Linked DNA regions of Neodiprion lecontei. The protein of the gene in region 1 purifies or fractionates together with the protein of each later gene. This does not show direct contact. Links are inferred from orthologs where the notes say so. Each region holds a gene or a part of one and is shown on either strand. Other genes may lie near its edges. The genes, in order: iron-sulfur cluster assembly 2 homolog, mitochondrial; putative transferase CAF17 homolog, mitochondrial.

Evidence for each region.
Region 2: the proteins of iron-sulfur cluster assembly 2 homolog, mitochondrial (region 1) and putative transferase CAF17 homolog, mitochondrial purify together in Homo sapiens (co-immunoprecipitation; 4 studies listed by BioGRID and IntAct, with this or other methods). This does not show direct contact. The link is inferred for Neodiprion lecontei from reciprocal best matches to the Homo sapiens genes ISCA2 and IBA57.

What each region holds. Positions count from the first base shown.
Region 1 is NC_060266.1:331,593-343,295, reverse strand, and holds iron-sulfur cluster assembly 2 homolog, mitochondrial, read left to right. Parts: upstream 1-9,753; 5' UTR 9,754-9,828; coding exon 9,829-9,908; intron 9,909-10,279; coding exon 10,280-10,510; intron 10,511-10,576; coding exon 10,577-10,754; 3' UTR 10,755-11,063; downstream 11,064-11,703. Other genes in the region: protein kinase C, read right to left, coding at 488-652, 778-1,373, 1,995-2,537, 2,674-2,836, 2,961-3,082, 3,906-3,937, 4,876-5,119, 5,350-5,410 and 1 more; paramyosin, read right to left, coding at 11,258-11,410, 11,451-11,684. UniProt on the Homo sapiens protein: Involved in the maturation of mitochondrial 4Fe-4S proteins functioning late in the iron-sulfur cluster assembly pathway. May be involved in the binding of an intermediate of Fe/S cluster assembly.
Region 2 is NC_060263.1:378,132-390,640, reverse strand, and holds putative transferase CAF17 homolog, mitochondrial, read left to right. Parts: upstream 1-5,348; 5' UTR 5,349-5,793; coding exon 5,794-6,894; 3' UTR 6,895-6,929; exon of another isoform or gene 6,930-7,031; intron 7,032-7,154; 3' UTR 7,155-7,296; downstream 7,297-12,509. Other genes in the region: acyl-CoA Delta(11) desaturase-like, read left to right, coding at 125-368, 1,302-1,432, 1,555-1,760, 2,310-2,495, 2,587-2,986. UniProt on the Homo sapiens protein: Mitochondrial protein involved in the maturation of mitochondrial [4Fe-4S]-proteins in the late stage of the iron-sulfur cluster assembly pathway. Operates in cooperation with ISCA2 in the maturation of [4Fe-4S] proteins.

The DNA.
Region 1 (11,703 bases):
CTCCGCTTAACTCATTATAAGTACCTTAGCTATCTCTCCCTCTCTCTCTCTCTCTCTCTTTTCTACGATCAGCTACAAGCAGCCTGACCGTTCGTTATACTTTCATCTCTGTCACATATAAACATTTGCGATATGCTTATTTTCTCGTAAATCATCTGACCTTCCTTTCGTTTTTTTTTTTCTTTTCTTTTGCTATATTGTATACAGATTAGATGAAAAATCAGACCTCACCAGGTTCCATCGCGGTATACGTTTTGTTACTTGTTTAAATTCCAATTTTCACTCCGATTCACGGCTTACGCTTTTCTTCCGTTTTCATTGAAATTAGATTGAATTAATTTGAACCCATACCGAACAGTTACCCTCTCGTACAGTCCGACCAATGAAACATTACACATATCTTGAAAACAACGAAGAGGGTAGGAAAAAAAAAAAAAAAAAAAAACTTACTTGATCGTAACATCCAAGTGATTTTTATCAACTGCGTTTATTCGCCCGCAAGTCTTGCGGGATTGTAGTCTGTGTTAACGAATGAGAATCCCTTGAATTCTTCCTGATTTATGCAGCGTAAATCTTCAGGATTCACCGGTGTCAAGACCGGTTCTTCTTTCGTGAACTCGGCATCAAAGTTCATTGCATCCTTTTTGTTTTTCTGTAATGCAAAAAAAAAAAATAAATAAATAAAATCAAAAAAAAATAAAACAAGCAACAAATGTGTGAATAATAATAAAATGCAAGCAGAGCAATAATTGCACCGTATATCAGTATTATCCTTACAATTTTCGGTTTAAAAGGAGGCTTCAGTCTGCGAGCCTCGAGCGCCTCCCAGTCCATGTCTCGGAAAAATGGATGAAGTCGTATGGCATTCTCGCCTCCGTTAGCTGCAACGCATCCCAATCTTTTGGCGGGATTCTTGGTCATAAATCCCTTCAGAATGGCAACAGCTTCCTTGGTCAGCCATACCGGATAAAGGACGTCGTCTCTCAATATTGACTCGAATAAATCGTCCTCGTTTTCAGCTTCGAACGGTGGCTGACCGGCCATCATTTCGTACATAAGAACGCCGAGCGCCCACCAATCGACACTCGCGCCGTACTGCAGTTCCTGAAGTATCTCGGGCGCGATGTAATCGGGGGTGCCGCAGAACGTCGTCGTGGTTTTGACACCTTCGATTATGCCCTCTTTACACATACCGAAGTCGGCGAGTTTGCAATGCCCCTCTTGGTCCAACAATATATTGTCCAATTTCAAATCCCGGTATATCACACCGTGCTTGTGAAGAAATTGTAATGCCAGCGTAACTTCGGCAGCGTAAAAACGTGCACGAGCCTCGTCAAACTTGCGAGCTCTTTGAATTTGGAACATCAGATCACCTGTCGATCATTAAAAGTTCACTGTCAGAACGTACGTTTCGATTTTAAATAAATTATTAATTTGCTCAACCTTGATAAGCCAGACTAAGAACTTCTCGCTTGAATGCGTTTCGAACTTAGAAAACGTTAACCAGTCCAATCTTTTTTTATTTTTACGTTGTTTTTTAAATAACTCGACAATACCAGGGCTGCGACAATTTTGCTAAATAAAATTACCTAACTTGTCTCGTCAAAAAATTCAGAATTTCCAGACGTTTTCCCACGAAGCTTTTATGACCAAAAGCTCTAGAAGTTATGCGCCTTGAATATATAAAGTTGGATCTTAACGTTTATTTTACACAAATAATTAGAAATTTAACGATACCATTTCTGAAAGTTAGCTTAACCGAATTTACGAAGCACAGATGAAGTTTGAAAACAATTTTAAAAAAAGCAAGTTTTTTCTGTGGTTCACCATAATTTCCCGACTTTTTCCCGATAGACGAAATTCCCCGACTATTCCCGGTCTTCCCGGTGTGTCGCCAATTTGATGGAGATCTAGTGAAAACTCAACCTTTCATTCTTGGGGTGTTCGTATCAAGTTTTTCTTTTAACCAATTCGCAAAAGACAAGACCACCCACCTCCATTGACATATTCCATAACGAAAAAGAGCCTATCTTTGGTCTGAAAGCAGCTGTGTATGGCGGTGAGAAACGGATGCTTGGCTGCCAGAGCTAGTATGCGTTTCTCTGTCATGGTACAGTCGACGTCGTCGTCCTGAATGATGACATCCTTCTTGAGTACTTTGACGGCGTAAACTTCGTCCGGTGACCCTTTTCTTTCGGCAAGCATTACCTTGCCGAAGCTTCCTTTGCCAAGGACTTTGATGAAATGAAAATCTTCGAGCCCGAGCTTCCTGTAGCCGGTATCTGGGCCGCTTCCGCTGTCGGTCGGTTCTTTCAATTTCGAGGCTGGCACCCCTTCGGAGAACGTTTCGTTCGGGGGAGCCGACGACCCAGAGCCACCAGATTGGCTCGATGACTGGTAGTTGATCCTGGCTGGTTTGTTCTTATTGTCCGGCGAAATTCCCATTTCGTTCAAGAGATCAGCCAAATGCCTTCTGTTGATACCACAATTGTTTGCAACATTCTTTTGACATCTCTTGTGCACGCTCATATGGCAGACTGAAAATAATTACCGAAAGTAAGACAAAACTGTATCGACATTTGACCCGAGTTTGGAAGTTGCTGACTTAACGAAACGTCGCAAAATCCAACAACAGATTAACGCATTGGTAATGATTGAATGGAAAAGATTTACCTTTGCATTGTAGGCCTTGCTTTATAAGACCGTACAGAAGAGACCCGCAATGTTCGCAGAATGTGAACCGTTTGAAACTGTGTACGACAAAGCGATGGGGAACATTGACACTGAATCTTTGGCTCTGGGTACTCTGGGTTGTCTGTAAAATATGAACGTTTCCCTAAACGGGCAGATAGTTTGAATTAAAATAAAAAACGAAACAAAAAAAAATAGACATCGTCTCCCTAGCGGTGTAAGGAAGTTTCTCACCCCCCTGAGATAATTTCGATAATACAGTTACCAACTTGAGAAAAATTCAGTTTCTGTTCCAGGAACTTGGTTCGTTCAACACTTACTTCGTCTCTCATGCCTGGACAAACAGTGACGACGGACTCGTGACATCTTTTGTGAACGACACATGTGCAGACTGTAACAAACGTAGGGAAAACTTTTTATACACATATATTCTACAGCAATTGTTATTTTCGTTTTTTCTCTCGTTCTTTGAAAATGTGTGAAAGAGGCTATTCGAAAAACAGTACGTTAAGTAAGCTCCGATAAACATGCGCCGTTTGAACTGCAATCGCTCATTTCATTTCTGTGACATAAAACACTGTGAAAATTTGTGTTAAATCGTGCAGGGCGAAGAAAACATAAAATAAAATTATGTTAATTGTACGTTACAATAGAGAGTTTTGCGAAGAGCAGGTGTGAGAATAAAATAACGCAAGTAGGAGCTTAACAACCTCTGCTATCCCACCTTGTAGATTGAAAAACGCACAAACAAATGTCATAATCAAACAAATAAATTGTACAACGGAAAAAGTAAAACGGACATGCGCTAAAGTCATCCAACATGACATAGACATATAATACATGATAAGAAGAATACAGGTAGAAGAAGAGACATAGGGGCACAAACATGGTTAAATGATCCGTAAAATATTTTCACTCGTACTTTGGCAAGACGCAAGTGCATGTAGGTCTGAACCCTGACTGAGTATAATCGGAATGAAATAAAAATAATATAAAATAAGCAAATAAACAAAATAACACCTACTCAAGCAGAAAGCGATCGACGAATGGGAAATATCTTTGGATCATTGGTGTCTCTGGGACATAGGAAATGGGAGCGTACGTATATAGGAGCAACTTGGTACAGCAAAAAATATTAATACGCACATGGGATTCCGCAAGCAGGCAATTAATTATTACTATCGGTTAATAACGTGATTTTGTGTCTTCCTCACCTTGACATTGATACCCTTGCTTGCCGAAGCCCCTGAAATACAACAGACAAAACACGTCACATCGTCTCCTCAAAATCCCTAATAACACATACGCGTATCCCTCCTCTGACGTTGCTACCCAGAAGTTACCTCTACTGTTTCTATCGTTTACCCTAAGCCAAGAGATTAAAAGGCAACCTGACATTACGCGTCACTTTGGATGATAAGAAATGGACCACGTATCCTAGACGTTAGCATTTACGAAACGAACAGACTAGGTTTCAAATTGTTTGAAGCAAAGTGCAACTGGATTGATCCTAAGATTTGGCAGTAGAAATGCGTAACGTCAGCTTGTGTGAAATACCAAAGCGTGCAACCCCAATTCCACCAATGTCCACGCAGTTTCAATTACTCCTCCCACAGTTTAATCACAAAAAGAAGAACCAAATGCATGCAGATTTGTGTTTGATGATTGAGAGGATTGTAATGATATATAAATATTATTATTTTTGTAATAGAAAGACCACCACACCCGGGACACGGACTCGGCACTCATACAGCGGAAATGTTTCCCTTCCGTTGTTTTTCACCCACAGTAAACTGTGTCGCATTTCCTTAAATAAAGCAGACATCGGGAGAAGTATTTATGCCGAGACCTACACGAGCACATACAAAGTATTCCCACAAATTGCCCAATTAAACACTAAAATTACCCATTCTATGTCTAAAAAAAATATCAGTCCAAACATCCGAACTCTTGCTGCAATTACTGTTGCATGTTTTGAAAATTGGATTCGCCGTATCCAGACACGTATTTTTTAACCAAGTATCGAGTATTCGATTGTGAATCAAAAATCCAAAGACGAGCGGATGTTGGATATAGGTGAGAGTTTTGTCCTCGGTTTGATACGATTTTTAGTACAGTACAAACACAGGGGGAAAAAAAAATTAAGAATAAAAAACAACAGGATACATTGATCGAAGTACGTACCATATAAAGTCGCCACAATGGGAGCAGAATGTAGGCTGCCTCAGGAAAGTCGCCATGAATTTATGCCCGTTGACTTGATGCACCCTTCTTCGCATCGCCCCTCTTCTGCGATTGAAACCTTGTCGCTCTTTAAACTCTCGTCTCGGCTCTTTTCCTCCTATCGCTGCGCCTACTCCGCTTCCGCCGCCTGTGTCTCCGGACCCTCCGCCCAACCCACCGCTTCCGCAGCCAGGTTGTTGTTGCTCTGTTTTTGCATGAAAGCATTACAATTTCACTCTGTTTTACAAGTTGAAATTCTTCCATCTTTGCTCCTTTAGAAATAGATCTAAAGACGATCTATGCTATTCTTTGTACCTTTCATTGTACGTATTGTACTTGTTCTAGTCTGCTCAGTAAAGAATTTAATTCTCTTTGCATGTTTATTATAAATTATTCCAGGCAAATTATTCAATGGAAACATGTGCCGACACTGACCTTGATTCGTCCATTTCAGGTCTATTTGTATCCTCAGTTTTCCTTGCGGCTCAAGGTCGACCTGGAACGAATGAAGACTATTAGTTCAGTCTGCGTAAAAGTTACGCAACATCGCTTATTTATTAACAATGAAAACACAAAGTATTACCAATTAGGTACAATATTTGCAGGTAATCCCTGCGGAGTAAAAGCGACTAGCAAAATTCAAAGATGTTACCATTGCGAGTGCCGGTTCATTTATTTTATAGCGGAATTCGAGGAGGAGGTACAGGGATGTTTATACACGAACGTTAAATTAAGACGACCTTTCTGAAAAATAGAATTAAAATCCTACCTTTAAGGGCAATTGCTTGCTGATTCAGATGTTTGTTGCGAATGATTCTGATTGTAATAAAAATCAGCCAAATCTTTCTTCCTTTGTGTTTGCAATGAAATGTGACAGACCAAAGGATACTTACATGACGGTAGCTACAATAATCTAAAATATTCCCCATGGCAATGTCCACATGTTGAGGCATGAAAGCCTTGAATAAGGAATCTTAATTGCACAATTATGGACGACACGGTATAGTAACAAATTCTCCAGAATCCTCAACACTTGTCTATGTTGCAAAAACCTTGCAGTTTGAGTGGAAAGTGAGGAAAAATTTGATACAATTGATTATGTTTTTACGGAATAATGTTCAAAGATGCATTGAACACAAAGACAATTGCAAAATGAATTTTCTAAGAATGACTAACAGCTCAGAGTTCAAGAAGCTTTGTAGAAAATTTCCTGTGAGAAAATTCATGATGCTAAATAAATGACTGGAATTGGTATTGTTATTTCAATGATTCAAATTTCGGAAAACTTGTTATTTCCTAATTTTAGGAATATATGAAATGGAATAAATTATAAGGCAAAAGAGATTCATATTTTGGAAACTTGGCCATTTCAGAGTCACTACAAAATTGCAGAATAGATGTCCCCCTCCCCACACACAAATATTTCATTAAGCTAGCGTTATTAACTTTGATCTCATGAACATTTGCAGTGGGAAAAATTTGATTTTACCGAGCAGATAATAAATTTTTTGACCGAATAATCAAAACCATTCAAGACAAAGATAAGTATTCGCCTCTTATCTATGATACACATATGCATACTTGTGGCCTCAGTAAGCCATCAAGGCTTTAATTTATATCTAGTCTACGCAGCAGAGCGTTGTAAGCACTAACAGTCATATAGGTGCAGTCTGCCCTCGTTTCTCGATGAAAACAGCAAATATGTTAAAGACGAAGAGCTACGGATGATTTTCTGTTTCTGTGCTATCTCCCTGGTAGGGATTTAACACCCGTCGACGGAATAAATACGGTGAGCGATGAAAATCTTGGTAATTCCACTTTAAATCAGTGAACGAAATCTCAATAACGTTAAATTTTTTTAATGTACAACAACGATGATTAATAAATACCGTTTCGCTGGGGTAAAGTATAGCCGCCTTTTTCAGGGTCTCGGCACGAATGTGAATCAGCCTTTGAAAACACTTTTCAAAACCATAATTTCTGTGTGTTTGAAACATTTTCTTATTAAAGAGGAAAATTAAGTAGAGTATCCAACCGTCAATTTTTTTTTCAACACTCTTATTTTACAGAAAATCCAAACAAATCTTGCAAACAGAGAATTTGCCCAACACACAATACTCTAAATAAAATTTGCACATACAAATATCAGCCATAAGATTTGGATTCGAATTCTCTCCTTAATGAGAGATACTTCTCGTTTTCGATATGAATTAACCAAGGTGCGAACGCGAACTGCTAGCAATCTCTGACTCGCTTACGAAAGGACAAAGTATATTTGCGCATAACTCTTCTTATCTAAACCGCTATCAACCGTATAAAAGAAACATTACTAAGAATATCACACCTATGCGACAACAAAATCTCAGCATGCTGCATATTCACAATAAACGTTTCATCGAAATATTGTATCGTTGCATTTAATAACGCCAAAGCTGAGAATTCTTTCAATAGTGCTACGATTAGGAAAAGGACAATATAGCTGAATACCACGAACCCAGAAATCAGCTGCATCGTCTTCTCGGTGAACCAGATCTTCGAATCTGATGCTGCAATTGGCCACAAAATCATCGGGCGGCAGAGCTGCGTCGTGGAAAACGGTCAGCCCGAGCGTCCCCGCATCCAGGACATGGTGCGTGAACGATTCGTTCCACACAGGATCGAAGGTCTTTGGTTTGGTCGAAGAGCGGTCGAGCTGATTCTCGTCGACGTCCAGAAGGACATAGGGATCCAGAATTGGCGGTTCATCTTGCCAGAATTTTCTCTGCTTATCCGTTGCCCTCAGGCCAGATGCTTCGCATATTTTTACCTTAACCGTGCCAGTGAACATTTTACCTGTCTCCCTGCCACTTTATTGTATACGCTTGACCGTCTCAACGACTGACGATGAAACCTCAGGTGTTTTTGACAGTCTGCTTTAGGGTGGGTGATTCTTCTTTTCTCTTTACTTACTCTCGGATTTATACTCGAATTCCAATACCGAGAGAATCCCTAGGGATGCAAAGATGTGGGACAATTTACGAGAGGGGGTGAAACGGGAGAAAAATAGGAATCAAAATTTTTCACTACTTTTGATAACGCGGTGATTCGTGTTTATTTTGTGACTGATTGGTTCCTCTTCCTCTTTTTCTTCTTCTTCGTTTTATTATTATTATTGTTATTATTGTTATTATTTTTCTTTTTATCGTAGTCTTTTTTTTTCCTCGTCTAACGTTGAGCGTTCACCTTCACCGTTGGTGGTATGAGTGTTGGTGCGGTCGACAGTAACAGTGTGTAGTTGTTGGGTCGAGAAAACAGAGGTTGTTAGTTCCAGTTTTAAAAAAAGCGGACTCCCTCTTTGCGACTTTTTCTTCGTTCCTTCTAGCTTCTTTATCTTTTTTTCTCTTTATTCTGGTCACCGTTGCTCAACAATCAACACTGGTTCTCCCTCCTCCCGACGGTTGCACATAATACTTAACAACTAGCGTAGCATAGCAGTGTCGAACGAGACACTTTAATAAAAAAGTCGGGGTTAAACGACATTGACGAGTTACAGACCCGCCGCGATACCCTGACAGCCATCAAGGTCGATTTTCCGTAAAAATTCACCGACTCCGATGCAGTTAACGAGAGGGAAAAAAACTCGAGACCCAGGGCTCGATCCGCACGACTATCCAAGGCACATCCAAGGGCCCCTTTAACACGGCCAAGATATACGCGGCGGAACGGGGAATACGGGAATATCTAGCGTTGCTCGTTCGTTCGTTCGCTCCCTCCCTTGCCTCCCTTTCACCCTCCTGCGAAGCCACCTTCCGTCCTTCCTTCGTCGCTCCCTTCGCTCCGTCAGCACAGACGTCGCGCTCCGTCGCTCGATCGGTTCGTCCGTCGCGTCGTCGCCGCGGCACCATTCGCGGAATCTCTACCAGCATGAAGTAGAAGGATCTGAAACCGTGGAATCGACATAGAGTTTACACACACTCCTGAAGTAAGCCGTTCAATGGCCGCTCGCGTGCAAGGACTGCTAGTGTTACGGGACCTTTCGTAATCGAAAATGGGCGAGATTAATTCGTTGCCAAGTCGCGCCCTCTTCATCTTCCCCTGCAGGTGCATATCAGTCGGTACGTAGAGGCGAGAAGAACTGACGTTACCGTCGCTCACCGCGTGTGCCCAGATAATACAGTCGAACATTATTATCGCGAAGTGGCTATTCGTTTTTAATGCAAAATCTTATTAAAATGTGGGAAATACAAAACGGCTTCTGTCTGTCCATAGGAGTTGTAACGAAATGAGAGAATCAATTTCGTCTACAGGTCACATGGCCCACATGGCACGTCGGTCCGCTGTCGCTGATCTAACAATTAGAGAAGTCGAATAGATCCCGTTCGAAATGGAAAACAATTCGAATAAATTATCCGTCAAAGGTCTCACTAATGTGATCTAATAAATGTAACATTTCAGTTATACGAAAGCAGTTGGTCAGAAAACTTTTGATCCAGTACGGACACATGTTGAGTACTGTTTTTGTTCACAATCAGACCACGTCCAGCCATTCTGGCACAACTGTTCTGTAAAGAATAAAATCTCTAATTCTCCTACCCGATCTCCTTTTTCTTTTTTGCGATCTTAACACGTCCACTCGATCCGCTACGTTTTTCCTTTCGGATGCAAAAAAAAAAATTCTGACAAAAGTTTTTCTGATATCTTCATCGGAACGCCAATCTTACTTGCCTGCACTGCCGCTTATGGACAAAACTAGCAAGACTAGAGTAACGCCGCGGCCCTTCGACCAGGCTTCTGGAACTAATTTTCGACGACGAATACATGTCGGTAACGTAACGATAAAGTGTACTTCTGCGACATCAGTTGGGAATAGAACCCGATAGTCATTAAAAAGAAAAGAAAACGTCAGCCGTCAGGTGGACATTAAGTCATTAAAGTATGGCGAAATTGGGGCAGGCGGTGAGGGATCTCTCCTCCAATTTCTCCTCGAACCAGTATTTTTCGCGACTACTTCTCACGTGAGTAACGCAATTATCACACGATTACGGAAATATGAAACAGGAAACCAGCGACGTAGATTATTTGCTATTTATCGTTCGATCCCAGAACCACGGGATTATGTTTCAATAATTTATATGTATTTTCATGTGGCAACGTCGACGTCCGGTCGGTCATCGTATCCAAACAAAAGTCATATACGCACCCTCTAAACCTTGTCATGAGGCAACCGACATTGTCGAGATCAATATTTACATTTAACTGTCAATAAAGTGGGGTTGATTCGTGTAAAACAATCTTATCAGATTTCCTCGCTATTCATTTAGACTATTATGACGCTTCTTGACGTTTCGTCTGCGACGATATCTATTGAAGTATTGTCAATTTTTAGGTCGCCATGGCGCGGTGGTATCTGGGCTTCGGCACGTTGGACATCTGCCACAAATACATCGCCAGCTCCACAAGATACCGGCCTAATAGTCAGCGACAGCTGTGCTCAACGCTTGAAAGAATTGGCAACCAGCGCTGAAGAGGCGTGCCTGAGGGTTACTGTAGAAGGAGGGGGATGCTCAGGATTTCAGTATAAATTCGATCTTGACTCAACGATAAACGAAGATGACAGGTAAGCTTGTGCATCGTTACAAAAGTGGCTTTCATGTTTTATTAACAACTAAATTACTTCTTTCAGAGTTTTTCAAAAAGACGGAGTCAAAGTGATCATAGACACAACTTCGCTGGAGTACGTCAAGGGATCGACTGTTGAATATCACAAGGAACTAATTCGTTCGGCGTTTAGAATAACAAACAATCCTCTAGCTGAACAAGGGTGTAGCTGCGGTGCCAGTTTCGCTATTAAAGTAGACTGACCCGATACAAATAATCATAATTTTTAGCAGATCGTCTCCTCGATTCTAATTATCGGTTTTGAAAATGGTCCATATATTTTTACAGACTCGCAATGATTGCAAAGAAATCGTTAATTTATTTTGTAGTTTTTAAGTGGTAGTTGATGTTATAAGTAAAATGTACGTGTATGTACATAGGAATATATACACGTACGTGTATATTTATAAGTATATTACATGAAATTATGTCATGTATTAATGATTAGCGACAGATAAGGCGTTACGAAAACATTGCACATAGGTTGTTGATAATTTATAATAAAATTCGTTTCAACGAGTTGAAAAAGCAAAACAACTGATCAAGAAAGGCTTTAAATTATACATGTATTCATTTCCTTTACTTACGTTATATTTTCAATCTCATAAACATGTGACGGCGGTTATACCGCGTTAGGTAAAATGAAACTGAATATTTAACGTTGACTAAATTCTACAAATGAACGTAGTGGACATCATTGTATTATTTACACGAGATTATGTTTTACACTATGTATTGTGATAATCACACAGATTAACAGGCATATCCATGGAATGTGACATAGGCTCCAGCTTAATGCCAGCAAATTTATTTTTGCTTCCCTTTTTTCGCATTCTGGAAAAAAAAAAATATCAATGATCTATTGATGGGTAAAAATCGCGGTTCCTGACTCGGCTCACCTTATTCCCCAACTCAAATTTGAGCTGCTGTATTTCCTCTGTTTGCTGAATCAATTTATCATTCATGTTGGCAAGGTGCTCACTTATAGTGCTAAGTTGAGCTTTGTAATTTCCCTCTTGTACTTCGTGATCCTCGCGCATTGCGGCAAGACTTGCCTGCAATTCTTGCAATGCCTCCTCACACCGTTGCCTTTTAGACTCGCTCGTTTCCAAGTGTATATTCATTATTTCAGTCTGAAATTACAAATAGTTT
Region 2 (12,509 bases), on another chromosome or scaffold:
AAATACGAGTCGGCTCTTCATCACTGTTCCAGTGATAGCAGTGATTTTGGCTAGTTGAATAGTTTCGACGGTCTCAGGTGCTCCGAGAGGCGGTATCCCGTTTTAATATACCGCAGTTTTCGAGATGTCCGTCACACTCGCGGACGCTGGTGCAGCTGCACGTGATGAAACAACGGTCGAGAAACTATGCGAGGAGGCATACAGAGAGAAAATTGCCGAACACTGGACGTGGAATTACATTTGGAATAATATCAAATGGAGTCAGTTTATTCCCATGGTAATACTCAACGTTGGATTGGTAGGATCCCTGACGATGTACGCCTTCGGACTACATTCGATACCCATTAAACCGATGACCGTTGCTTGGAGTGAGTTATACGAAATCTAGCCTAATTTATTGAAGTGCTTCAAGCTGATATTCCTGAATCTAATACGTAAAGTCGGCATTCAAGGCGGTCCCTTCGTTGATTGCTAAATTTATATTAAATAAAAACTTTTTACGAACAATTTAAATGAGGTTGAAATTCGTAACGTCAACGTACCGAAACGCGGTGAGAAAAATTGTAATCTCACATCATGTTCGGAACATTTTTCAATGAGTTTATTTTGCAAAATATGAGCTGACTTTACTATGTTTTGCTTAATCTCAGACAATGCTAATGTTGCAAAATAATCCGTTCTGCCGAAAATGCATCGCTTTAATAATGCTACGAACTGCAACCTCGTCAGTATAATCCGTTGATTTCACTATTCGAGAACACTGCGATGAACGTTAAATACGTGTCATAATCTTCAATGAAAAGCATTTTTTACAACCTTAGGTTTCGATGGTTGATTTGTGTTACACCTCCAATTATAGCCGATCACCTAAGGTGGACGTCTGAAAGAAGATTTGCTTGCACAAGAGAAAATTCATATTTTCTATCGAACTAAATATCTCTCATAAGTTCGAATGATTTACGATGCATCAAATTATGACTATTTTGTACGATCACCTTCGTAACAACAAATTTTCTCGCGTTTACAGCGCGTCATAATTTTATATACATATTAAGCTAATGCCCTAGCACCAGACGATTGAATTTTATTTCAGAAATTTGAACTTTTCGTAGGACTGACTGTAACGGAAAAATGTACTTGACATTTGAATAAGCAGACTTTTCGAAGGTTCGGAACTCTATCAATTGGAATCAGACAAGTTTCTCAACTCGGAATCTAACATCAACCAATAATTCCCTTGAAAACTAATGATTTCTCACAACTTCTGCAACAATGGCTATTTTATTTCGTTAATGCCGCAGTATTCATCGTCGGTTGTGGAGCATTCGTTGGAACAACGGCAGGAGCACATCGGCTCTGGTCTCACCGCTCGTACAAGGCAAATCTCCCGTTGCGAATACTGCTGATGTTCCTCTACTCCGTTCTCGGATTGGTAAGCGTACCCCTGATCAAAGTACCGAGAAATTTGAGAGAGAGCAAAATAAAAGCTCGTTAAAAATTTTCCATCGAACAATAGTTCGTTTTTCAAAATCCGCGCATTAACGAACTTCACAGTACACGATCTACGACTGGGCAAGGGACCACAGGGTCCACCACAAGTACGTTGAGACGGACGCAGATCCCCACAACGCTAAGCGGGGCTTCTGGTTCTCCCACATGGGCTGGCTCTGCGTCCATCGTCACCCGGAGTGTCTGCGCCGAGGGAGAGAGGTCGACATGACCGACGTAAGGAACGACAGAGTCGCCATGTTCCAGAGAAAGTACGACGCCCACTTTTCCGTCTAATTTCGATTTTTCGCATTACGATTATAATTGGCAAGAAGTGAGAACTTATTTATTCCCGACTCAGCCATATAATGTTGACTTTTTTTTACCTAAAAAGCGGGACGAAAGTAGCACGTTATTCCGTCTTGAGGGGTAACGTCAATGTAAAAACCTGAAACACGCGCATTTTTTTTTTTTTTTTTTTGCCCGCGAGAATCCAGAAAAAAAATCCTTTTTTCTATTTTTTTTCCTAATTCAAATTTCCGCCATTTGCAGAATTCAACATGTACCGCGAGAATGGCTCCAGTATCGCCATTTTTAAATATTTTTTGATAACAATCTTCTGTATTATACTTAAATGTATGCCTAATGACATCCTTAAATATTATTATCTTATTAGCGTTTCTTCCGTAAAAAAAAAATTAATCAAAATAGCGCCTTTCTATTTTTTTTACAGTAGTGTTACCAGTAAACAAATTTACGGGAATAATCTTTGACTTTATTCCTTGGTCGCATAATGTACTATTTCCTAATTTTTAATTCAGATACGGTACCATTCTAAACATCATATTCTGCTTCACATTACCGACGATAATCCCGGTAATATATTGGGGTGAAACTGTAATGCATGCTGTGCTGACTCAGGTTTTCATACGCTACGTCCTGGGCGCACACTGCCTCTGGAGCATAAACAGTTTCGCACATCTTTGGGGCGATCGACCTTACAACAGGTCGGTATGAACGGTTTTTTTTTCTGTCTTTCTACTTTACGTTGAGTTTAATTGCAAGTATAATTGTGATTTTTTATCATTTTGTACCCAGACTGATAAACCCGGCTGAAAATATGTTGGTTTCGGTGCTGACGGGTGGCGAAGGATCGCACAATTATCACCACACGTTCCCTTGGGACTACAAGGCCTCCGAGTTGCCCTACATAAACTTCAACGCGGCAACGATGTTTATTGACGCGTTTGCCCAGATCGGATGGGCATACGACCTGCGACAACCCTCGCCCGAACTTATAGACAAAATAGTTCATAGAATCGGCAAGAAGTCCACCGTTCCTGTGCAACACCAGCAGTACTGGTTATTCAGGCACATTTCCGAACTTGGCTCTCATCTCAGGCTGTCGCTCAGATCACCAAAACGGTTCCTCGGTCAGATTTTCATGAAAGTTCACCGCAACTTTCATTTCTGCGAGACGAGACCACACCAACAATAACTGTTGAGCTGTTTACCAATGAGCGAATGTAACGTAGATACCTATATCATTTAATCATATGGACCTGATAGATAACGAAGTAGAATAGATGTAATGTTTTTCCTATTATCGCTGTTACGTGTCCCGTGTATGATACTTTTGTACGTGTATTATTAATCGTGATCGCGGTAAATGAAAGCTTACCTTTGAGTCAACAAACTCCACGTTTCAAGTAAAATGGTGAAAAATGTGTAGTTTCAACCGTATCTACCAAACGAATTGCGCTTTTCTCACACTGTGTGCCTTCGTAATATTAAGTCTCATCATTTGCTATTGTGAAACATCGATACATGTATTTAGCGGGATGCACTCGGAATAAGATAGGGAAATACGAATTTATCACGGCTCCATACCCCTCATACAATACCGAATCATTATTTTTAGTTTCATGTACGTGAGAAGCAAAAATTGTATCACGAAAAACTACAATTCGTCAATACTTGACCAATAAAAATAGGTCCGTTTTCAAATTTTTATGACTATTCACCTCAGATCACCCATCCTCTTCGATTGTAGAATGAATTTAATGGCTCGCCTCCTGTTCACTCATCATCAGCCCATTGTTGGAAGCAAATAAATTATTTTTCCATGATATTGCCGTGGTTTTTGATTTAATAATAAATAAATTATAGAAATGAATTATGTAACAAGGCTATCAAAATGAGCACAAGTTAGTATCGAATAAGAGTGCGTACGATCAGTGAGGAAAGTATAAAATCAGTGATCAGCATTCAACATCAGTCGAGATTCTAAAATCGTTTACGGCCAAAAGCGACAACGCAATTAAAAATCATATCAGTTACGTACCTTCCACGTTTATTCACTGTAGTGGTTGGTCAAGTTTTCACTTCGTTCTCAGAGGTCGATTGAGTCGGGTTATTTCTTTCATAGCATAACTATTATAAATGCAGTCGATAGTACTGACCCTATAACTGGGTAAGAGATAACAACATGTTATCAGTATTCCATTTTCCAAACCGACACATGAACCATTGAAAATTTAGGATAGTTTTTACAAAATATAATCAAGGATCGAATAACAAAAAAATTCAACTGAAAGACAAATTTCTGATGACAAAAGTAGCGTGTTAGTATAATCAAGAATAATTTCATGTGTATACCTGTGTTTTATCCTGCCACAGCATTATGAACTGTTCAGCTTCGGAATTTGGTTGACCAACGAATATTATTAAAGTAACATTCAGATATTCGCTAACCTCAATCAGTTCAGCTGCGGCTTAATTCTGTAATCAGGTAAAAGACCACAACATTTTGTTAATATTTCGTGTTCAACATCCATATACTGAGTGTTTAAGTACATGCAATTTTAGAGCGTTACTTATTGCGTCGAGTCTCGCAAAACGTTACTGATTACATAATCAAGTGGGAAATCATTCGGATCCGTTTTACACCGGTTGATTTTCTGTAATCAATTCATCAGTTTCGCTAGCGAATGATTTCTTCCCAGATTCATTCACAGAGTCTTTCAATTCAAATAATCACAAACGCCGATCAACGTAGTTACAATTTGTTTCTGTGATCGGGTAAAAAAAAATTTTCTAGCGAGGTAACTTTTCAAATCGATTTAAACAGCATTCAAAATTTACCATATACTTATTTAGAAACTTAATATGTATGAGAATTAAACAACAATCGACGGTTTACATTTACTAAAAATTTCAAAACAATCAGTAATGCCGAATGATGCAATAAAATTCGTTACCTGGTAATACGAGATAACGAAATAAATGATCACTGTATCGATCTCCAGGAAGAAATTCGCTGACCCTGTCACGACTAAGAATTATCAATAACAATCGATTTTCGTTTGAATCGATTATTTTTTCCGGATTAATCAAGTATAATACATTTCTTTTTTTTTTTTTAATCGTTTGATCGATGGACGCGATTATTTTTCCTCACATTCGGTTTTTGTTTCTTGACTTCCATGAGCGACGTAATACAATATCAATTTATGCGTATTCATGTGATTAGAATATCAATCGTCATCATTGTCTTACTTACTAAGTACCTATTTGTTATAATAAGTAAAAGACAAATGAAGATATTCACCTAAAATTGAAAAATATTTTAGACGAAACTATAAATTATGCAACAAAACTTTTCAACTATTAAGACTACAGGCTGAAATTTACGAAATTTTGGTTTCGTGTGGACCGTTACAAAAAAAATACGATGTACCTAATCAATGCATCGACTAATTTTTAACTGACTGGCCAATTTTAGTCACAAATACGGCAGTAACTCTACGCCATTATCCACTGCTTCCGTGCTATCATCTACGGCAGAATAATTATCAGTCGATTCGTCGACTAGCCATCTCGAAACTTAGTTCCAAATACCTATTTTGTGTCAGAGGGCGCTACGAGATCAGCGACATCACTCTCTGGGCAGCTGACAATCGGCAGATTATCGATTACCTAAATTGCGAATTCCCGATGTGACGATCCGACCAACGCAGTGGATATTATAACCTCTAAATGCGAGTCCCCCATCCACCCCCGCCCATTTCTAGTGAGACCGTAAATTGTTTGTAAAATTATTGAAAACTATCCGCGCGAATGAAACACAATATAACGTAAGCTGATTTCACGTATCGTTGATATACTTGCATTCTATCCGCACGAAAATCCAAAAATTCCTAACCTAACTTAACCTCTACTTCTCATCACATTCGCCGGAATCAAGTCGGGAGGGTTCGAAATTTGATAAGAAAAGATAGTAAAAAGCCAATTCGTAATAGAAATATGTTTAAACTGAGGCCATCGCGACTTCGACTAGCCGCCAACATGACGAGAAGCAACTCGACGAATCCAACTAGCAAAGTGATAGAACACCTGAGCAAGAGGAGCCTCCTCAGAGTTTCTGGCACAGAATCGTCCTCGTTTTTGCAAGGTCTGATAACTAACGACATGAGGCACTTGGACGAGGGGAAAGCGAGCATGTACACAATGTTCCTAAATACGAAGGGCAGAGTGATGTTTGACGCGATACTCTACCGAACGCATGAGATCGGAGTCTATCTGCTGGAGTGTGACAGTCGGGCTTTGATGTCCGTACAAAAACACCTCAAGCTCTACAGAGTGAGGCGAAAGATAGACATTGATGATCTGAGCAACGAGATGAAGGTCTGGGCATTATTCGATCCTGACAAAGCATCGATTGAGTCGTGGAACGCTGGCGCGAACATAACGAAGAAAATTAAGCTCGAAGGACAGATATTCCCATGTGATTCCCTGGTTGATATCGTTGATACCAGTTCGAGCAAAGTCATAGAAAACATCAGGATATACCCAGATCCAAGGTTCTCGGGTCTTGGTTTCCGCATTTTATCCGACCTTGGGACACAAACCGGAGACATCGTCGCTCGCGTCGATCCAGACACCGTGGAGAGTAAGGAGGTGTCTACTGGCTACAGATCCCTCATTTACAAGCTGGGAATTGGCGAGGGCTGCGACGACCTGCCGCCTGGCAAGGCGCTACCTCTGGAATCAAACTGCGATTATTTACACGGCGTCAGTTTTCACAAGGGCTGCTACATTGGCCAGGAATTGACGGCAAGGACATACCACACAGGGGTGGTCAGAAAACGACTGATGCCCATTACCCTTGAAAGTTCCCCTCCTGAGCCCATAGAGTACGACGAGAGCATTACAGATGAGAGTGAGAAATCAATTGGTAAATTGAGGGGACATGTCAATGAGAATGGACTTGGACTTGTCCGTATCGCCGAAGCACTAACTGCTCAGTCTCTCAGAATATCTGGACTCAAGGGAAAGGCTTTAAAACCTGTCTGGTGGCCGCAGGAAGCTCCCAAAGAAAGTGCATCGATCGGAAAGAGCGATTGAAAATGAGGGTAGAAGGGCCTCCAATGGATAATATTGTATAGACAATATTACTATTTTTTAAAATCAATTAGTAATATAGATGAGAGATTATTTTGTATAAGCGATGCCGGCTGCAAAGACTGATACGATAGATTTAGGTTCATTCTTTGTGTTCTTGTTATACATCCTCTTATTTATTCTTTATCTCGTTATTGTTATAGAAAAAATTGTCTTCTGACAAATAAATCTATTTATTAACCAAATGAATAATTGATTTCTAGGATGGAGTCAGTAGCTACCACATCTGCGGAATATTCCGAGTTTTCTGAAACTCATAAGCGAGTAAACATGGAGCCGGAAAGTACGAAGATAGAAAAAGATCGTGGCAAAACGTTTGAGTGTAGCTTTTGCGGATTAGCGGAACGTTACGATTACAAGGGCTCTAAGCCACCGTTTGCAAGGACTATGACTTACTTGGAAGAATGCTACATTATGAAGGATCCATTTAGCCTACCCAACAGGGGGGAAATCCTAGTGCTAGGTTCTGACTGTGGAGTTTGTACAAAACCAGTTTGTCTAGGCTGTAGTTTATTTTTTATCAAAAGATTCTGCCAGGCTTGCGCCCAACAAAAAATGTCCAGTTTGCCCGTTCAGTTACATGCCAAAATAAAAGCCTTGAAAAAGAAGGATGTTAACTGATCGATGACAATCTTTAATTTATTTTCATTACTATCATGTAAATGTACAACACACATTGACGACTGATAAGATAATAAAACGATTCAAGTATTGGGAGAAAACTATGTTCCCTAAAATTCAAATATGAGATCAAATCCTACGCGACGAGTGATACATTCGTGATTCGGCTAGCCGGAAAATGAGTCATATTCATTGAATTTCAAGAAGACCGTTACTTGAATATAAATGTGAAAAGCAAAGTCTGATTTTTTCCCTATTCGTTCTATATCGGATTCTTTTACCGTGACAGCTACATCCTGTGAGCGTAAACGGCAGTTCATTACAGAATGTCTTGACCATTCGAATATGCCACATCTAGAGGCATAAGAGTTGTAATAGTCAGAGTACGCAGTGGCAAGAAGTGAAGACAAAAGAGAAGGACAGCAAAGGATCGCCGTTGTTTTCTAGCGTCTGCTTTCGCAGTAGCTCTTATAATTCTGGACTCTGCCAAATTCCTGAATCCAGTGGCTTTCCTTTACACCTGAAGCCTGCCATATTTTGGTAAAGACCTGATAAAACGGTAGATAGTTTAGGAAGAAATACTAGTTAGCTAGCGAAACTACATATAGCAAAAGAGTGTTTGTGGATTTCAAGTACAATATTTTATTTATACCGGCGTACACACACTGAAAAATGCCTCATTTATAATCAGGGTCTATTTCTATCATTGTCTAATCCCAGCAGAGCTTTTATTTTCATAATTTTTCCGTTCGTGACTTTTCTAAAGTAAGACAACGTTCGCTCTTTGTTGTTTTTCGAAAGCTGCTGCTGATAGTAATCAATAATTTTTTTTTTTTTACCGAAGTCGTTTTAGTCTTAAAACTTCTTTCTTTCGAGCACTGCTACCAAACGGAGTGTGCAACGTATCAGTAATTACAGTATACATGGTGTCTATATTTTTTTTGGGCCCATCCAATGCTGTCTGGCCAAACCTAGGCAGAGGTGGTAAACCAGCCGGTCGTTTAAACTCCTGGTAAGTTGGTGCAAATGAATCGTGTAACGAAATATCTGTATATTCAATACTTTTCAAACCATTATGTACGTTTTGCCCAAAGACTTTGTTGATAATTTTTTACTCCTCAAAACCACAACATCATTCTGTTACAATATTCGATTTATACGGTCGTACAGAAACTGACAAATGTTTTATTTATAATCAATAATAGTTTTATTTTTTAACCTTGTAGAAATTTTTTTTTTTTTATATCTATTCGCGATTCGCATTACTAGTTTCAGTTCCGTAAATCCTAATGTGTTACCCTAAGTTTGTGGAGTTAAACTTCAACCATAACTGCATACTTGCACAATGCCTGCAATATCTTCAATAGCTATATTGTTGGCAATCGAGTTATGAATTTTCATTGAAATTCGCTTTAAATAAATACTGGTATTTTGTTCCATTGAAGGCAGATTTCAATACTGTAGTCTAAAAAAATATATTCTATAAAGTGAATAATAAGTCTATAGAATTCGCTCGTTTTCATCATTGGTATATTAAAAAAAAAAAAACATACGTTCCGCAGTCAAATTCAAATTCACCGCTCTGAGGCAGCCACCGTGAAGATTTTCCGCACGGTTCCATTCCGCAACACTGACGGATTTCATACGTTTTCCTGTGGACATTTTTTTTTTTTTTTTTGCGAACACAGCGATATAAACTACACGGTCACGCCATCGCTACTACCGCGTGGTCAGTTCCAGCCAACGGCCAATATGCGGATGGTGGCGCCACCACCGTAAATCACGGATTACAGTCTGGATAACTTCAATGAAATCAAGGTGAAATTAGTTCGAGGAGTTCCCGCGAGGTGCGGCGATTCTGAACTTCTCAAGATTTCTCATTGTCAGTGCTGGTTTCATTACTCCCGAGTTGAGCGTCGCGCTTCTCAGCCCAAGAATCGGTTCATCGATGTTCCGCCTTATTATACAAAACTATAATTTCTATTCGAACACGTAACGAGGCTCGGACAGACGGTGTGCCAAATTCGTCAGTTTATTGTTCATTATTTATTTATGTTTGGCTTGTATCAACTTTCCTGTACGCTGCTTCGATTTTTTTCTCTCTCTTATACATATTAAAAGAACCCTGACGGTCTGGTCACCGCGAGTATATCGGCAGCAACGCGAATCACGTACACCGACGAACACTTACCCATGACAACGCAAACGATAGGTAGAGGGGAAATAGAATTGTAAAAACGAAAAGAAAATCGAAGAAAAGTTATCGATTCAAAAATCACCGTGAGGTGATAATAATCGGGACAAGAAAATCAGATTGACACAGTCATCGTCGTCGTCATCATCGGTATCCAGTCACGTGTTACCTAGTCGAAACGTCGGCGGTACCTACGTCACAAGTCAAGGACAACGGTCGTGCAAAAAATTGAGAAGCTCCAGCGCGACTGCCTGCCGTTCAACAAGTGTGCAGGTAAGGCGGGCTTTACATCGGCTGTTGCATGTAAGTCAAGCAGGTGGTGGCGTCGTTTTGCGAAAAGTTACGAGAGCGGGCGGTACGCAAGCTAATTCAACAAGTTAGTTATCGAAGGCGATTTAACTTGTTTCCCCAACCACTCCCAATTATCCCTTGCTCTTCAAATTCTTTGATGTGTGCGTATTCTACTTTCGCCCTGGGAAGTACACGGGTGATATTACTTAACTCCGGTACGTTCAAATTTCATCACATTTCCAATCAAGGTATAACTAGCTGTTACGCTCCGTGTCATGTCTCTTAACGTACGAAAAAATTACAACACGTTCAACCACTACACAGAAATGACGGGTTGACACGTGCAAGGCAGATGACAGAAAATTGCTGCTATCAAGTGCCAATGCCAGTGTAGTCGCTTATCTCTCAATAAATTGTAGACCTTATACTGCATACTGTAATCAACTGCAAGCATGTAGTATAATACGTAATTATTCGAACTGGAATCATTTCGTGATCTTAAAACCGTTACCAATGTTACTATGTGTATGACGGTGAGTTATAGTTGCAGACCACAGGGAAGGGATATCTTATATATGTAATTTTTATAAATTAAAAAAAAATTTCATTGCGACGTCGCTCAGATCTGTGAAAAATCTGTGCAAAATTTCAAGTTCCTACGTCAACTTAAACATGTACTTCTAAGCTCCGTAACTTTTAAATGTAGAATACATGTAGTTTTTATACCAAGTTATTTCGTTTTGTATGAGTTTGGTATAAATTAAGGGACCGATTTGAAACTTGGCAGAGTTGTTGCTTATAGTAATAGGAACAAACCCTGTTCAAGATTTCATCATTATCGTTCCCTTATATACACTACCGGCCAATAGTTTTGTCGAAATTCTTGCTGCACTGAAAATTAGATAACGGACTCAAAAATAAAGATAATCAAACGTTCCAAGTGGCGTTTTAAAGATAACAAATTTACCTTCATTTTGCTTTTTTAGACAATACCCTACTATTTTTTTTTTTTTTTTTGCCCCGGTACACATTTTTGAACGTGGCCGTTATTGCGGCTATTTTTTAGCCACCGGAAATTATTTTGAATTCTTTCTGTTCAGAAATGTTTTAACGTAGCATGATTATTACTTTACGTAATCAAGGCATGTCATATCTCATTATCGCAAAAAAATGAATAGTTCGATAAATAAGGTTTGGACGGCGCAAGTGCCTCGCTTTATCGGAATATTTCTTTTATTCTCTCTGTTCGTATCCACGCACCTCTTTACCGCGAAATTTCACGTAAAATCAGGAGCGCGAATTAGCACGGAAAGAGAGAGAGAGAGAGTGTGTGTGAGCGAGTAAAATGTTACTCCGAGAAGCGTAATTCAATCCAGACATGACATCCGACTCTCCATGCAGAGTTTGAGAGTAATTTGATGCGCGGACATTCAAGTTCAGCCCTCACCGGAGTCGAGTAATAATTAGGCAAAAACGGCAAGGACGTAAGAACGTTGGGTGTACGTGTGTTGCATACGACGATACTGTATTAATTCACTTGCCTGTGAAGGTCCTTAACTTATTTATGGTCATTTAACATTGAACTTTAATCTGACTGAAAAACCTTGGTTGCCACGATCACGCATACAGATTGAATTAACGATATGATTGTTATTGCTATATTATGATACGGGGATTTCAATTTCAACGTACAGTATACGTATCATCGTCAATCGTGCGTATTATCTATCATCGCCTTACGTCCGGAACTTTATCTCCAACCATACAGGAGACCACTCGAGTCGATATCTATCAAAGAGTGATCATGTAAAATCAATCTCGATCACGGCGCACGTATAGATGATGTATACGTAAATGCATACATATACGTAAATCTAAGCCACAGGTACAACCTGGGCGCAGGTAAATTTTTACGGACGCACAACTTCTTTGACAACCTCAGACGTGGCAGCAGCAGCAGCAACTATTTCTAGAGCAGCACACAAATATTATACATTTGAATAAAAGATGAAGGAGAAGTGGAAGAGAAGAACTTCTATGCCACCCCCCCCCCCCCCCCCCCCCCCCCTCGACCCACTCTTTCTCATTGTCAGCGATGTGAAAGAAACCGTTTCAAAGATCACGAAATCGAAGTTGGTTTATACGCTAATGTAAAGATGTAATATTTTTAATAACCCCTATTTTTCCACTTAACCATTGTCTGAAACTCACAATCAGTAAACCGTGTAATTTAAGCAAAACGTAGTTAAATTTTGGAAACTCGGCTAAATTGTGTCTCAATTTTTTACCCTCATTTTAACCCTGCAGGGCTGGAGTTACCTTTTTCATTAGGAGATAAACTTATTTCGCCGATCACGGTTGAAAGAATATATATTAGATAATGATCAATTTTCGAAACCTCGTATCATCTATTCCAAAAGTAATACACAGAAGGATATTAACGAGTTCATCG